Linked DNA regions of Stegostoma tigrinum. The protein of the gene in region 2 purifies or fractionates together with the protein of the main gene of each other region. This does not show direct contact. Links are inferred from orthologs where the notes say so. Each region holds a gene or a part of one and is shown on either strand. Other genes may lie near its edges.

Evidence for each region.
Region 1: the proteins of cytochrome c oxidase subunit 5A, mitochondrial-like (region 2) and cytochrome c oxidase assembly factor 3 homolog, mitochondrial purify together in Homo sapiens (affinity purification with western blotting; 3 studies listed by BioGRID and IntAct, with this or other methods). This does not show direct contact. The link is inferred for Stegostoma tigrinum from reciprocal best matches to the Homo sapiens genes COX5A and COA3.

The regions. Positions count from the first base shown.
Region 1 is NC_081384.1:15,282,214-15,289,694, forward strand, and holds the start of cytochrome c oxidase assembly factor 3 homolog, mitochondrial, read right to left. Parts: upstream 3,114-7,481; 5' UTR 3,088-3,113; coding exon 2,895-3,087; intron 1-2,894. UniProt on the Homo sapiens protein: Core component of the MITRAC (mitochondrial translation regulation assembly intermediate of cytochrome c oxidase complex) complex, that regulates cytochrome c oxidase assembly.
Region 2 is NC_081389.1:16,551,072-16,558,324, forward strand, and holds the start of cytochrome c oxidase subunit 5A, mitochondrial-like, read right to left. Parts: upstream 3,066-7,253; 5' UTR 2,940-3,065; coding exon 2,849-2,939; intron 1-2,848. UniProt on the Homo sapiens protein: Component of the cytochrome c oxidase, the last enzyme in the mitochondrial electron transport chain which drives oxidative phosphorylation.

The DNA.
Region 1 (7,481 bases), on a different chromosome or scaffold from region 2:
TTGGATATATCCGAAATGTCCACTTACTCAACTACATTCCTGTCCCATCTAAGTATCCAGGGGAGGATCCAGCATGATCACCTTCCAAGTATTAAAAATAAACTAAACTAAAAACTCTGCATTGTCTGGGTGCATTGTGGGAACACCATCAATTCTGTCACGTTGTGCACTGATATAGCAGAATTCAAATTCCCATCTGTCAAACAATCTTAGAAATTGCTGGAGGAACTCCACAGATTCAGCAGCACCCCTAGAGAGAAAACAGAGTTATAGTTTTGGGTTCAGTGGTCTTTCACTGCTGAACCTGCTGAGTTTCTCCAACAATTTACGTTTTTGTTTCAGTTTTCCAGCACTTGTAGTTCTTTGAGGGTTTTTTGCTAAGCCTCCTCCCTCTCACCCTTTTCCATCCTCTTTGAAAGTATGTATTTTCTTTTCTTCCTACTTGTCTTTTTTTATTTCCTCTTCCCTGCAACATTAATTTAAACATTTCTCTCACAGTAGTATTTCTTTTTCTGCTCGCAAAGAATTCCAGCACTGTTCACATGAAGCCCACCATCATGCACAGCTCCTTTTCTCCCAAAGGCTATCAATTTTACCAACATCCTTACTTATATCACCAGGGCTATATTACATCCTGTGTCGCACTGGGTGATGTGAATATTCTGAATTTCAGTGAAGTTAGGAAGGACTGTTATCTAAGGGTGCCAGAAGTGTGGAACACTTTCCCAAGGAGGTGACAAATGCTAGTTCAAATAGTATTTTTAAATCTGAGATGGATAGATTGCTATTTATTAGTTTAGGGAATTAAGCAAAATGAGTGGATCGAGTTTGAGCAGATCAATCATGATTCACACTGGAAATGGTACAAACCCCAGGGTCTGAAAAGCCTAATCGGGCTCCTATTGAAATAAGAAAATTTTATGTACATTCTGCTAATGCGCGGATAGGTATGGTGGCACGAAACTGCCGGAGAAGCGATACACCTTACAATTTTGTATCAGTGATAATGGGAACTGCAGATGCTGGAGAATCCAAGATAATAAAATGTGAAGCTGGATGAACACAGCAGGCCCAGCAGCATCTCAGGAGCACAAAAGCTGACGTTTCGGGCCTAGACCCTTCATCAGAGACGGGGATGGGGGTGAGGGTTCTGGAATAAATAGGGAGAGGGGGAGGCGGACCGAAGATGGAGAGAAAAGAAAATAGGTGGAGAGGAGTGTAGAGGTGGGGAGGTAAAGCCCCAAAACCCACCTCTTTCTCCGGTACATTGATGACTGTATCGGCGCCGCCTCTTGCTCCCCAGAGGAGCTCGAACAGTTCATCCACTTCACCAACACCTTCCACCCCAACCTTCAGTTCACCTGGGCCATCTCCAGCACATCCCTCACCTTCCTGAGCCTCTCAGTCTCCATTTCAGGCAACTAGCTTGTAACTGCTGTCCATTTCAAGCCCACCGACTCCCACAGCTACCTAGAATAGACCTCCTCCCACCTACCCTCCTGCAAAAATTCCATCCCCTATTCCCAATTCCTTGGTCTCCGCCGCATCTGCTCTCACGATGAGGCATTCCACTCCCGCGCATCCCAGATGTCCAAGTTCTTCAAGGACCACAACTTTCCCCCCACAGTTGTCAACAACGCCCTTGACCGCGTCTCCCGCATTTCCCGCAACACATCCCTCACACCCCGCCCCCGCCACAACCGCCCAAAGGGGATGCCCCTTGTTCTCACACACCACCCCACCAACCTCCGGATACAACACATCATCCTCCAACACTTCCGCCATCTACAATCCGACCCCACCACCCAAGACATTTTTCCACCCCCACCATTGTCTGCTTTCCGGAGAGACCACTCTCTCCGTGACTCCCTTGTTCACTCCACACTGCCCTCCAACCCCACCACACCCGGCATCTTCCCCGGCAACCGCAGGAAATGCTACACTTGCCCCCACACCTCCTCCCTCACCCCCATCCCAGGCCCCAAGATGACTTTCCATATTAAGCAGAGGTTCACCTGCACATCTGCCAATGTGGTATACTGCATCCACTGTACCCGGTGTGGCTTCCTCTACATTGGGGAAACCAAGCGGAGGCTTGGGGACCGCTTTGCAGAACACCTCCGCTCGGTTCGCAATAAACAACTGCACCTCCCAGTGGCAAAACCATTTCAACTCCCCCTCCCATTCTTTACATAACATGTCCATCATGGGCCTCCTGCAGTGCCACAATGATGCCACCCGAAGGTTGCAGGAACAGCAACTCATATTCCGCCTGGGAACCCTGCAGCCCAATGGTATCAATGTGGACTTCACCAGCTTCAAAATCTCCCCTTCCCCCACCGCATCCCAAAACCAGCCCAGCTTGTCCCCTCCCCCCTCTGCACCACACAACCAGCCCAGCTCTTCCCCTCCACCCACTGCATCCCAAAACCAGTCCAACCTGTCTCTGCCTCCCTAACCTGTTCTTCCTCTCACCCATCCCTTCCTCCCACCTCAAGCCTCACCTCCATCTCCTACCTACTAACCTCATCCCACCTCCTTAACCTGTCCGTCTTCCCTGGACTGACCTATCCCCTCCCTACCTCCCCACCTATACTCTCCTCTCCACCTATCTTCTTTTCTCTCCATCTTCGGTCCGCCTCCCCCTCTCTCCCTATTTATTCCAGAACCCTCACCCCATCCCCCTCTCTGATTAAGGGTCTAGGCCCGAAACGTCAGCTTTTGTGCTCCTGAGATGCTGCTGGGCCTGCTGTGTTCATCCAGCCTCACATTTTATCACCTTACAATTTGATTTGATCTAATCGCACAAATCAGCCTGTTAATGTACCTACGATTAACGCCCAAACTCAAGACATACTTTTACCTCCAATAAACCATTCAATACGTAAGGATACAGATGCCCAACACGATTGCCCCGATAGCTAAACCTGTAATTACATTCCTTCCGCTCCTTTTTTGCATGTTTTTATGCCATTGAGCCAGCTCGACTTTCTGCATGAACTCAATCTGCTCCTTGGTCAAATTGTCCCTTTTCGGGTCGACTCGTTTAGCAAACTCTGAACCTCCTCGAGAATTCATTTCCGCCATGTTGTCAAATCACCAACGAGAATTGCTTGCGGAAGGTCAAATACGGAAAGCTGAAGAGGGCAAATCAAAACAGCAACGCGATTTTGATCTACTTGGTAGTTTCAAATGATCAGATAACGGAGAAAACATATTGAGGTCCGAAATAAGACCAGATATGGAAAGTTGTTACCTTAGTTCAATAACTTGAATTAAATAAAACCAACGCTAATTATTTTACATATACTTAGACGACATTTGTAAAACAAAATGCTTGACCGAAGAAGTTGTTTTTAGGAAAAGAGGTCAAGTTTGGGGAAGGCATTCCAGGGCTTAGGACCAAGTCAACGAAATGGAGTTGTCAGTGGTGTGAATCAGCTGTCATGGATCCTCAAGGTAAAGAATTGGAGAGTGCAGAAATCTCACAGACATTTGCAGGATAGGCGGTTACAGAGTTAGGAGCATGACAATGGAGATTCAAAAACAAGGATGAGAGTTAAATCTAAATGAACATTGCCTGACTGGGAGACAATGTAGATCAGGGCACCTTGAGTTGGTGGGTGGACATGAATTGATTAGGTGGGGAATTGGATATGATGCCCAAATTCAGCCTTGAATTTATTACTGACAAAATATGCTGATCAGTAAATGAATGTTGAAATGAGCCAAATGAAGAGAAGCATTTTCAACATATTTGTGCTGCAGAATTAACGAGGGACAATCATTAAGATTAACGAATGATTTTTAATATCTTGGATGTGATGCAAACACTACTGTTTTCCTTCCAATCTCTCCTCTTTTGAGACTTTCCTTAAAACGCATTCCTTTATCAAACTTTCAGTGTTCCTCCTTTTATCTTCTGCTTCTGTCTTTTTGTAGGGTTATGCATTATGCATGTATGATACACTTTGAAATATTAAAGGTACCATGCTGTTTGGTAAGTTATATTAGAAGCCACTGAACTTCCTCTGACCTATAACCACTTGGTGGCACTAAAGGACCAAACAACAAACTAGTATAGGTCAGGAATGACATTGTTCAATGCTGATACAACGCAGAGTTGAGGTTAGAAGCAGTAAATAAAGAACAAGCAGTTGAGCCATCCGTGTAAAAAGCCCATTCCTCACTACCCTTTATGAAACACCATTACAGATCATCCAAATTGTTACAGTGCAAAAAGCAATTTGGCCCACTGTGTGCCAGCTCTTCAAGTGAGCATCTCACATCATGCTATTCCACTGCCTTCATCCTTTAACGCTGCATATTATTCCTTTTCAAATAACCATCTAGTTCCCTTTTGAATGCCTCACAGAACCTACCTTCACATACTCAGGGAGACCGTTCCAGACACAAAACCTTCACTACATGAATCACTTTTAGGTATCACTTTTGCTTTGTGCCCTCTTTTTCTTGGTCTTTTCAGAAGTGGAATCATTTTCTCCCTATTTACTCTGTCCATATCTCTGATGATTTTGAATGCTTCCATCTGATTTCATTTTAGCCTTCTCTTCAAGGAGATATGTCCCAATTTCTCTGATTTGAATTCATAACTGAAATTCCTCATACATTGAACCATTCTCAAACTCTTCTGCATTCTTTTCAATGTATTTGTAGCCTTCTTGAAGTGTGGCATCCAGTACTGGACTGAATGTCGCAGCAGAGGTCAAACTGGTGTCTTTCATAAGTTCATTATTTCTCTTGTACTTTATGCTGCTATTAATACAGCCTATGATACTGAATGTTTTATTAAATTCTGTCTGAAACTGCCTTGTCACCTTTAAAATTTATACACATACACCTAGGTCCCTCTACCCCTGCACTCCCTTTCGAGCTGTACCCTTCATATTGTTTCTAGAGTTCTTTCTACCATTCATTATTTCATACTTCACATCACTGAATCTCTTTTATCACCTATCCACTAACACCACCAACCTGTCTATGTCCTTTTGAAATTATACATTATTCTCCTCACAATTTACAGTAATTCTAAGTTTAGTACATTCCACAAATTATGAAAATATACCCTGTATTCTGGGGTTTAACTCATTAATAAATCAGCCATTTCAATTTAAAACAAAAATGTTGGAAGTAAATTAAGCAGCACCAAGGAGAGAGAAACAATTTAACTTTTCAGGACAATTACCTTTAGTGTGGAATGTTTGTTGTATAACATGTCAGGTTGGTTCAGCACCTTGACAAAACTCACACGTTGTTTCAATAGTGAAGCTAAACGCTCGGTTCTGAAGGAAGATTCAATGTGACGGCGGCACTGTAGCTCAGTGGTTAGCGCTGCAGCCTCACAGCACCAGCAACCTGGGTTCGATTCCCGCCTGGGGCGAATGTCTGTGTGGAGTTTGCACGTTCTCCCCATGTCTGCATGGGTTTCCTCTGGGTGCTCCGGTTTCCTCCCACAGTCCAAAGACATGCAGGTTAGGTGGATTGGCCACGCTAAATTGCCCGTAGTGTTCAGGGGTGTGTGGATTATAGGGGGATGGGTCTGGGTGGGATGCTTCAAGGGGCGGTGTGGACTTGTTGAGCCGAAGGGTCTGTTTCCACACTGTAGGGAATCTAATCTCATCTAGTGACTAGTCTGCCTCCCAAATCAGCTGTCCTCGAGGCTTGTTCCAGTAACAGCTCCCTGAGCAATAGCAGATAAAGTAAATGTAAAGAACGTTTCTTTAAAGAATATGTAAAGCAATATTTTTATACGTACAAAAGTTTAAAAAAAACTGCACTTAAGGATTGAAACTTTAATCATTTTGGGGGACAAGTTAAGCAACCATTAAATATTATTCTTCTCTATTTCCCTTTTAATACCCACCTTTAAATACAATATTTAATTAATCACCTTCAATACTTATTACCTATAAACCCCCTCAACCATTCTTTCAATTGGCTTAAACCTCAAACATATTGATCAAAAGAAGCCATCCATTACCAGGATCCTTCACATCATGAACCATATAAGCAGTATTTTCTCCCTCTCAGAGAACATATGTTGTTTCCATACCAAGGTTTTTGGGAAAGAGTAAAAACAAGAAAACCAACTGTTGATTAATTAAGTATTTTTTCCCAGCTTTGAGATACCACATTAGCATCACAGTATCCTGCCATTCATAATTATACAAGTGACAGTTTTAGCTTTATTTCTGTTAAATTCTATTGATTCACTGTTTATATTGGTGAATTCTGCAGATAATATTGCAGGCAGTATTGAAAAATTCAACTCCTAACTCATGTATAACCTGTGATAGTGCACAGACTCTGGGGCTTGGCTTCATATCAGTTACATTGTGACTGTCAGCTGGAGCTCATGCTGCCAGCACTCTCACCAACAGAATAAGTAGATAGGTTTTGAATTCAACTCCCATTTGAGTGCAAATTTTAGGCTGCTGTTTCGATGCAGTACCACTGGAGTATCTTTCAGATTAAATGTTGAACCAAGGGTTCCCTCTCCAGTTTTAAAATAAAAAGTAGTTATGCTGATGATTGGGGCTAATTAATTAATTGACCAAAGGGTAAATATTGCCCTTTGAGCAGTTGTGGCTTGGGCAATAAATGCTGGCCTAGGAAGTGACATTGGGATTGGTTGGTGGAAGGAACTTTATGACTCAGTAGAATGTAAGACATGGGAACAGATATAGGTCATTTAGCCAATCAAGTCTACACTGCCATTTGGTGTGATCATGGCTGAACTGACAATTAACACCACTTCCCTGCCTTTTTCTCATAACCCTCGATTCCCTGATTAAATATCTGTCCACCTCAGCCTTGAATTTACTTAATGACCCAGTCTTCATAGAACTCTGCAGCAAAGAATTCCAAAGTTTCACTACTCTCTGGCAGAATAAACTCCTCTTCATTTCTGTTTTAAATGGTTGAGCCCTTATTCTAAGATTATGCTCTCTGTTTCTAGACTCTCCCACAAAGTGCATCTATCCTGTCAAGTCCCCTAAGAATCTTGTATCTTTTAGTAAGGTTGCCTCTCTGTCGTTGCCATGGCGTTGCTGTCATTGCCGTGGCGTAATGGTGAGCACGTGGGTTTGTGACCGCTGGGGTCTGAGTTCAAGTCCCATAGCAGCCTATTTCTTAGGGTGGTTATCTCTGGTTTGCTTCCAGTTCCTCAGGCTGGAGAGGGCAGGAACAGGGAGATAATAGACCTGAACGTGTGGCTGAGGGACTGGTGTCGGAAACAAGGATTTAAATTCTTGGATCACTGGGGTATGTTTTGGGGTAAGAATAAATTGTACAGGAGGGATGGTTTGCATCTTAATAATCGGGGGACCAGCTTTCTGGCAGGCAGGTTTGCCACTGCAACACAGGTATGTTTAAACTAAGTAATGGGGGGGAGGGGCCAAACTGGAAATTTAAGAATGAAGTTAAAGGGAAAGTGAGAATAAGAGAGGTTAAGAAGGACC
Region 2 (7,253 bases):
AGAATACCTCTCAAATTTGTTGGAACTAAATCAAAAACCAGATGCAGATACCACTTCGTTGACTTTGGATTCATGGAACTACATACCATTTGCACATTCCAATTTGACAACAGACCAAGAACTGCAGCTCTGCAATTAATCTCTCTCTCATTCACTTGTGGGCTCTTGGATCAGTGACAGTGAAGTCAGCTGTAGCTAACATGTTGATCAATATGTCTAAACCATCTTAAAACACCACATATTTGAGTTTAGAACTAATTACAGGCTTTCATGCAATTTGTGTACTTCAAGCTTAGGCCATCAGGAACTGGATTAGCTTTTCAAAGTGATTTCTCTCAATGTTTACAACCACAAACTCTAGAGCCATTAATTCAATAGTAAATTCAAATCCATATCCTAGAAATGAAAGTACAGACATTAACCCACATGTGAATAGTATTTACATGTATTCAAAATGGGATCTTAATACTCCACATCCACTGCATTTAGACAGTCATAGATGACTCAACCATTTTCTTCAGAAAAATACAAATGATTCAGCCATTGCTCCAATATTTAACTGAACCATAATTGTGAAATCAACTCAACTTTCCAGTCTATTTCCTACAACCTTCATCCAATTAAGTCTGAAAAACATTCAAACAGTTCAACATTCCAGCATCGACTGCTTGGAGTAAGAGAATCCCATAGATAAAGACTCGCAGAAGAAATTACTCAACTATTCTAAACAGGAGAATTCTTTTTAAAGCTGCAGCCCCTTGTTTTATATTCCACCGTAAGAGGAAGAATCCTCTCCGAATACACTATCAAGACACCTGGAGATTATCTGCATCTGAATAATTGTCTTTGCAGCTTTGTCACATCCCAAAAGGGTCAAGGAAATAAACCTTCTTGACTAGCAGTAATCAAAAGCACAATGAAGTTGATAATTCGAATATGCCCCTCAAAACTAAACACAGTCTTCCCTCATTCCTAGATAGAGATGGAAGGCATGTGAAGACAGAGGGATAAACTACAGATGTGGAGCAGGGGAGGATATAGGCAGGAGGAAATGGACTCAGGAAAAGCTAGTGGGAGGAGACACTGTAAAGTGTGTGGCAGGCATGGGATGGATTTGGCAGAAGGGAAAGGGGTAAAGGGAGATGGAAGAACATTCCTGGTTTCTCAAATCAAGACTGGACTGATCATTTTCATTCTACTCTTCAATACTTAGTTGTGTCAGCTACCCTTTTCAAGTATAGTGAAGTAGAACGAATTTTGTTTTAAATTCCCAACTACATGTGCAAACACACATCTCCAAGTGACCTTGAGTTATCCCTTCCTGCATGCCTAATAATTTAGAGATAACAAGGTGAGTGCTGGATAAACACAGCAGGCCAAGCAGGAGGGTCTAGGCCTGAAATGTCAGCCTTCCTGCTCCTGTGCTGCTGCTTGGCCTGTGTTCATCCAGGTCCACACCTTGTTATCTCAGATTCTCCAGCCTCTGCAGTTCCTACTATCTCTCATCTAATAACTTAAGTACTTTAAATGTGCATCAAATACTGTTCCTGAAATGGATATGGGGCAGTGGAAGCAAAACTAGTTTTTGTTACATAGTAATTAAGGGAGTGTAGCTAAATCCAAAGTAACAGAATACAAGTAGCATAAGATGAAGGCATTATGCCACTGAAGAGGCTGAAAACTCCTAGTAGTTTTGAATGCTACCTCCGTTGCCAATGCAATTTAGTTAGGAGTAAAGAAGTGGAGTTTGCATTAAGTTCAACATAAACATTGTAAGCTTCAGAATAGTTCAACCACAGACAGGGACAGATTTTATCATAAAAACTAAGAGTAAAAGGAGGAAGTGAATGCAGTGGGCTCAGGAGTGACAGGACACATGATGCAAGGGCCTATGCAGGTTCCCTTCAACTGCTAGTCTACTCTAATTACTCCTACCCATTTATACACTTCTATGTACCCCTCCTGGCTAGTTTATCCCTTCACACACACCCTAATCTCTATTCCCCCTCTATCAGCACAAGGATAGCATGGTCACTCATTGGTTATCACTGCTGCTTCATAGAACCAGAGACCTGGGTTTGATTCCACTGTCTCTGAGGAATCTGTACATTTCTCCCTTCTATGCATGGGATTCCACCCATAGTCTAAAGAAGGGCAAATTAGGAGAATTAGACATGCTAAATTGCCCAGTGTCCAGGGACACGCAGGCTAAGTAGTGGGACGAGCCACGGAATGTGCAGGGTGTCTGGGTGGGATGTTCTTCACAGGATCACTACCGAGTCAATAGGGCAAATGGCCCACTTCTGCACTGCAGGGAACTCTATAATTTGCTCCCCGTCTCCACACACCTCATGTCTTGAACCCCCTCCCTTCACCAAACACATCTCAATCCTAATATTCATTTCCCGTCCCTCTAAAAACATTTAATTCGCTCCTTATCCCCTCCACCACCACAATCTCATTTACTTCCACAGCACTAAAACGAATGTATCTTTACCTTGCCCTTTAAAAAAGAACTTAGAATTCCTTTTGCCCCACTGGGCCGGCACCCTATCACCCCACTGGGCCGGCACCTTCCCTCCCACCCAATGCTACCCTCCCGCCCCCTCTCTGGCAATGTCACTAGGCCCGGAGCCAGGCTCGAGTAGCGGCGCGGGTCATTGCAAGGACACGGGGCTGCAGCGAGCGGTGGCAGAAACCGTGACCGGGGGATATAAACAGAGGGTGGGGAGAGGGGTACATGAACATTCCCCACCCTCCCGGGGGGGGTGTGGTGACAGACAAGAGATGGTGGTGGGAGGGGGGGGGGAGATGGGACAGGCACCCACCCTGCTCGTTTTGACCTTACCTGCTGGGTGCCCTCGGCCGGGGACCGCTAATGCCGTCCGCCTCCAGGCGGCCAGGCCTGTGCCGCTGTACCTGAGCGCGACTCGGAACATAACTGTGACCGAGTGAGTGAGCGAAGGTGTAGGAAGGAAAAGCCGCCGCAGCCGCTGCCGCTCGGAACCGGGAGACGAGGAGAAAAAACGCGTGCGCGCCGCGAGGGCCACGTACACCGCCCTGCGCCCCTGACGTCAACGCGCACACGCCCACCCGCCTAACACAAGAATACGCATGCGCATATAAAGCGAGCATGCGCTTTGCCCGCTGTGACCCTGGCGGGCGCCGCCATCTTTGCTCCTGGCGATAGCGCCTACGACAGATGCTGGAGTCAGGGATAACGTAGTGTGGAGAGATAATGGGAACTGCAGATGCTGGAGAATCCAAGATAATAAAATGTGAGGCTGGATGAACACAGCAGGCCAAGCAGCATCTCAGGAGCACAAAAGCTGACGTTTCGGGCCTAGACCCTTCATCAGAGAGGGGGATGGGGTGAGGGTTCTGGAATAAATAGGGAGAGAGGGGGAGGCGGACCGAAGATGGAGAGTAAAGAAGATAGGTGGAGAGAGTGTAGGTGGGGAGGTAGGGAGGGGATAGGTCAGTCCAGGGAAGACGGACAGGTCAAGGAGGTGGGATGAGGTTAGTAGGTAGATGGGGGTGCGGCTTGGGGTGGGAGGAAGGGATGGGTGAGAGGAAGAACCGGTTAGGGAGGCAGAGACAGGTTGGACTGGTTTTGGGATGCAGTGGGTGGGGGGGAAGAGCTGGGCTGGTTGTGTGGTGCAGTGGGGGGAGGGGACGAACTGGGCTGGTTGAGGGATGCGGTGGGGGAAGGGGAGATTTTGAAACTGGTGAAGTCCACATTGATAACATTAGGCTGCAGGGTTCCCAGGCGGAATATGAGTTGCTGTTCCTGCAACCTTCGGGTGGCATCATTGTGGCAGTGCAGGAGGCCCATGATGGACATGTCATCTAAAGAATGGGAGGGGGAGTGGAAATGGTCCCTCACCTTCCTGGACCTCTCAGTCTCCATCTCAGGCAACCAGCTTGTAACTGATGTCCATTTCAAGCCCACCGACTCCCACAGCTACCTAGAATATACCTCCTCCCACGCACCCTCCTGCAAAAATTCCATCCCCTATTCCCAATTCCTCCGCCTCCGCTGCATCTGCTCCCACGATAAGACATTCCACTCCCACACATCCAAGATGTCCAAGTTCTTCAAGGACCGCAACTTTCCCCCCACAGTGATCGAGAACGCCTTTGACCGCGTCTCCCGTATTTCCCGCAACACATCCCTCACACCTCGCCCCCGCCACAAACGCCCAAAGAGGATCCCCCTCATTCCCACACACCACCCCACCAACCTCCGGATATGACGCATCATCCTCCGACACTTCTGCCATTTACAATCCGACCCCACCACCCAAGACATTTTTCCATCCCCACCCCTGTCTGCTTTCCGGAGAGACCACTCTCTCTGTGACTCCCTTGTTCGCTCCACACTGCCCTCCAACCCCACCACACCCGGCACCTTCCCCTGCAACCGCAGGAAATGCTACACTTGCCCCCACACCTCCTCCCTCACCCCTATCCCAGGCCCCAAGATGACATTCCACATTAAGCAGAGGTTCACCTGCACATCTGCCAATTTGGTATACTGCATCCACTGTACCCGGTGTGACTTCCTCTACATTGGGGAAACCAAGCGGAGGCTTGGAGACCGCTTTGCAGAACACCTCCGCTCAGTTCGCAACAAACAACTGCACCTCCCAGTCGCAAACCATTTCCACTCCCCCTCCCATTCTCTAGATGACATGTCCATCATGGGCCTTCTGCAGTGCCACAATGATGCCACCCAAAGGTTGCAGGAACAGCAACTCATATTCCGCCTGGGAACCCTGCAGCCTAATGGTATCAATGTGGACTTCACCAGTTTCAAAATCTCCCCTTCCCCAACTGCATCCCTAAACCAGCCCAGTTCGTCCCCTCCCCCCACTGCACCACACAACCAGCACAGCTCTTCCCCCCCACCCACTGCATCCCAAAACCAGTCCAACCTGTCTCTGCCTCCCTAACCTGTTCTTCCTCTCACCCATCCCTCCCTCCCACCCCAAGCCGCATCCCCATCTACCTACTAACCTCATCCCACCTCCTTGACCTGTCCGTCTTCCCTGGACTGACCTATCCCCTCCCCACCCATACTCTCTCCACCTATCTTCTTCACTCTCCATCTTCGGTCCGCCTCCCCCTCTCTCCCTATTTATTCCAGAACCCTCACCCCATCCCCCTCTCTGATGAAGGGTCTAGGCCCGAAACGTCAGCTTTTGTGCTCCTGAGATGCTGCTTGGCCTGCTGTGTTCATCCAGCCTCACATTTTATTAACGTAGTGTGGAGCTGGATGAACACGGCAGGCCAGGCAGCATCAGAGGCAGGAAAGCTGATGTTTCGGGTCTTCAGTAACGTCAGCATTCCTGCTCCTCTCATGCTGCCTGGCCTGCTGTGTTCCTCCAGCTGGTGTCTGCTTTCCAGTACTGCATCCTATAGAAACATGCAACCATACAGTGCAGCCCTTGGGCTCATCACATCTAATTAAATCTACACTAGTCTCTTTCCAGCACTTGGCCACATAGTCTTGAATGTTATGACATTTCAAGAGCTCCTCTGTAAGATGTAGGAGCAGAATTAGGCCATTTGGCCCATCCAGTCAGTTGCTGTTCCATTATTAAGCATTCCCTGGTCACAGCACAACTTTTTTTTCTATCTCCACACATACAGTAAACAGCAAACTCACTGTTGATTAATTAAAGCAAAATTCTTATTTCAGTTGGCTCAACAGCTGGCTTGTGATGCCAAAAATACGGGGTCAATTCCCACTCTATGTGGGGTCACCATGATTAATCCACCTAAGTGGGGAGGGGTTCCTTAGCCTCTATTGTGATCGGAATCAGGTAGATTTCATTGACTGTTTGATCCTTAATTGGGTTTATTAACCTAGGCCAATCAGGGAGCCCTTGCTGACAGATTTAATCAGGGCATTCAGAGTTCCCTTACTTCAGGGACTCAAACTTGTCTGGTCATAGCCAGTGTATAGTGCACATGTAAATAAAGTCTGACATGGTGACAGGATACAAACTTCTGTGCAGTTATTTCAGTTCTATTGGCTGGTCTCTGATGTAGAGTGACAATGCCATCAATGGATTCAATTCCCACACTGGCTACGGCTCCTCTCCACTTTCATCTAAGGTCTGGTGACTCTCACATTAAGCCACTATCAGTTATTTCTCTCCTTCTAATGATACTGCAGGTCTGGTAACTTTACAATTACTGCAATGTAGCTATTTTCCCACCTTCTCCACAGGTGTATAGAAACATTTCTGAATAGGTTGATTAGGAAAATATGGAAACAGAAAATATGTGATACAGATGCGTACAGAACAGAAGCATGGTCCTTCAGCTTATCAAGTCTCAACTGCCTGAACTACACTAAATATTTACTCATTGCAGCACACATTATTTGAAGAAGTGACAGCGATTGATGAATGCCGAGGTGTGAATATTGTCAAGCGGACTTCAGCAAGATGTTCCATAAGGTTCTGCTTTGTAGACGGGTTAGACAGGTTAGATTACACAGAATATAGGGAGAGCTAGCCTTTGGAAACAAAATTGGCTTGAAGGTAAGAGACAGAGGGTGGTGGTGGAGCATTGCTTTTCAGACTAGAGGACTGCAACCTTGTGCCACAAGGATCAGTGCTAGGTCCATTGCTTTTTGTCATTTGTAGAAATGATTTGGATGTGAATATTGGAGGCATGGTTAGTAAGTTTACAGATGACACCCAAACTGGTGGTGTTGTGTACAGCCAAGAGTACAACAGGACCTTGATCAGATGGGCCAATAGGCTGAGGAGTGGCAGATGGAGTTTAATTTAGATAAATGTGGTACGTTGCATCTTGGAAAGGCAAATCAAGGCAGAACTATACACTTAATGGTAAGTGAGAGTGCTGCTGAACAAAGAGACCTTGGAGTGCAGGCTCATAGTTCCTTGAAAGTGAAGTCTCAGGCTGATAGGATAGTGAAGAAGACATTTGGTACACTTGCTTTTATTGGTCAGGGCATTGTGTGTAGGAGTTGGGAGTTCATATTGGGATGTACAGGACATTGGTTGGGGCACTTTTGGAATACTGCATTCAGTTATGGTCTCACTTCTACAGAAAAGATGTTGTGAAACTTGAAAGGGCTCAGAAAAGATTTTACAAGGATGTTGCTGGATTTGGAGGGTTTCAGCTAAAGGAAGAGGCTGAATAGGCTGGGGCCATTTTCCCTGGAGCGTCAGAGGCTGAAAGTGTCCTTATCGAGGTTTATAAAATCATGAAGG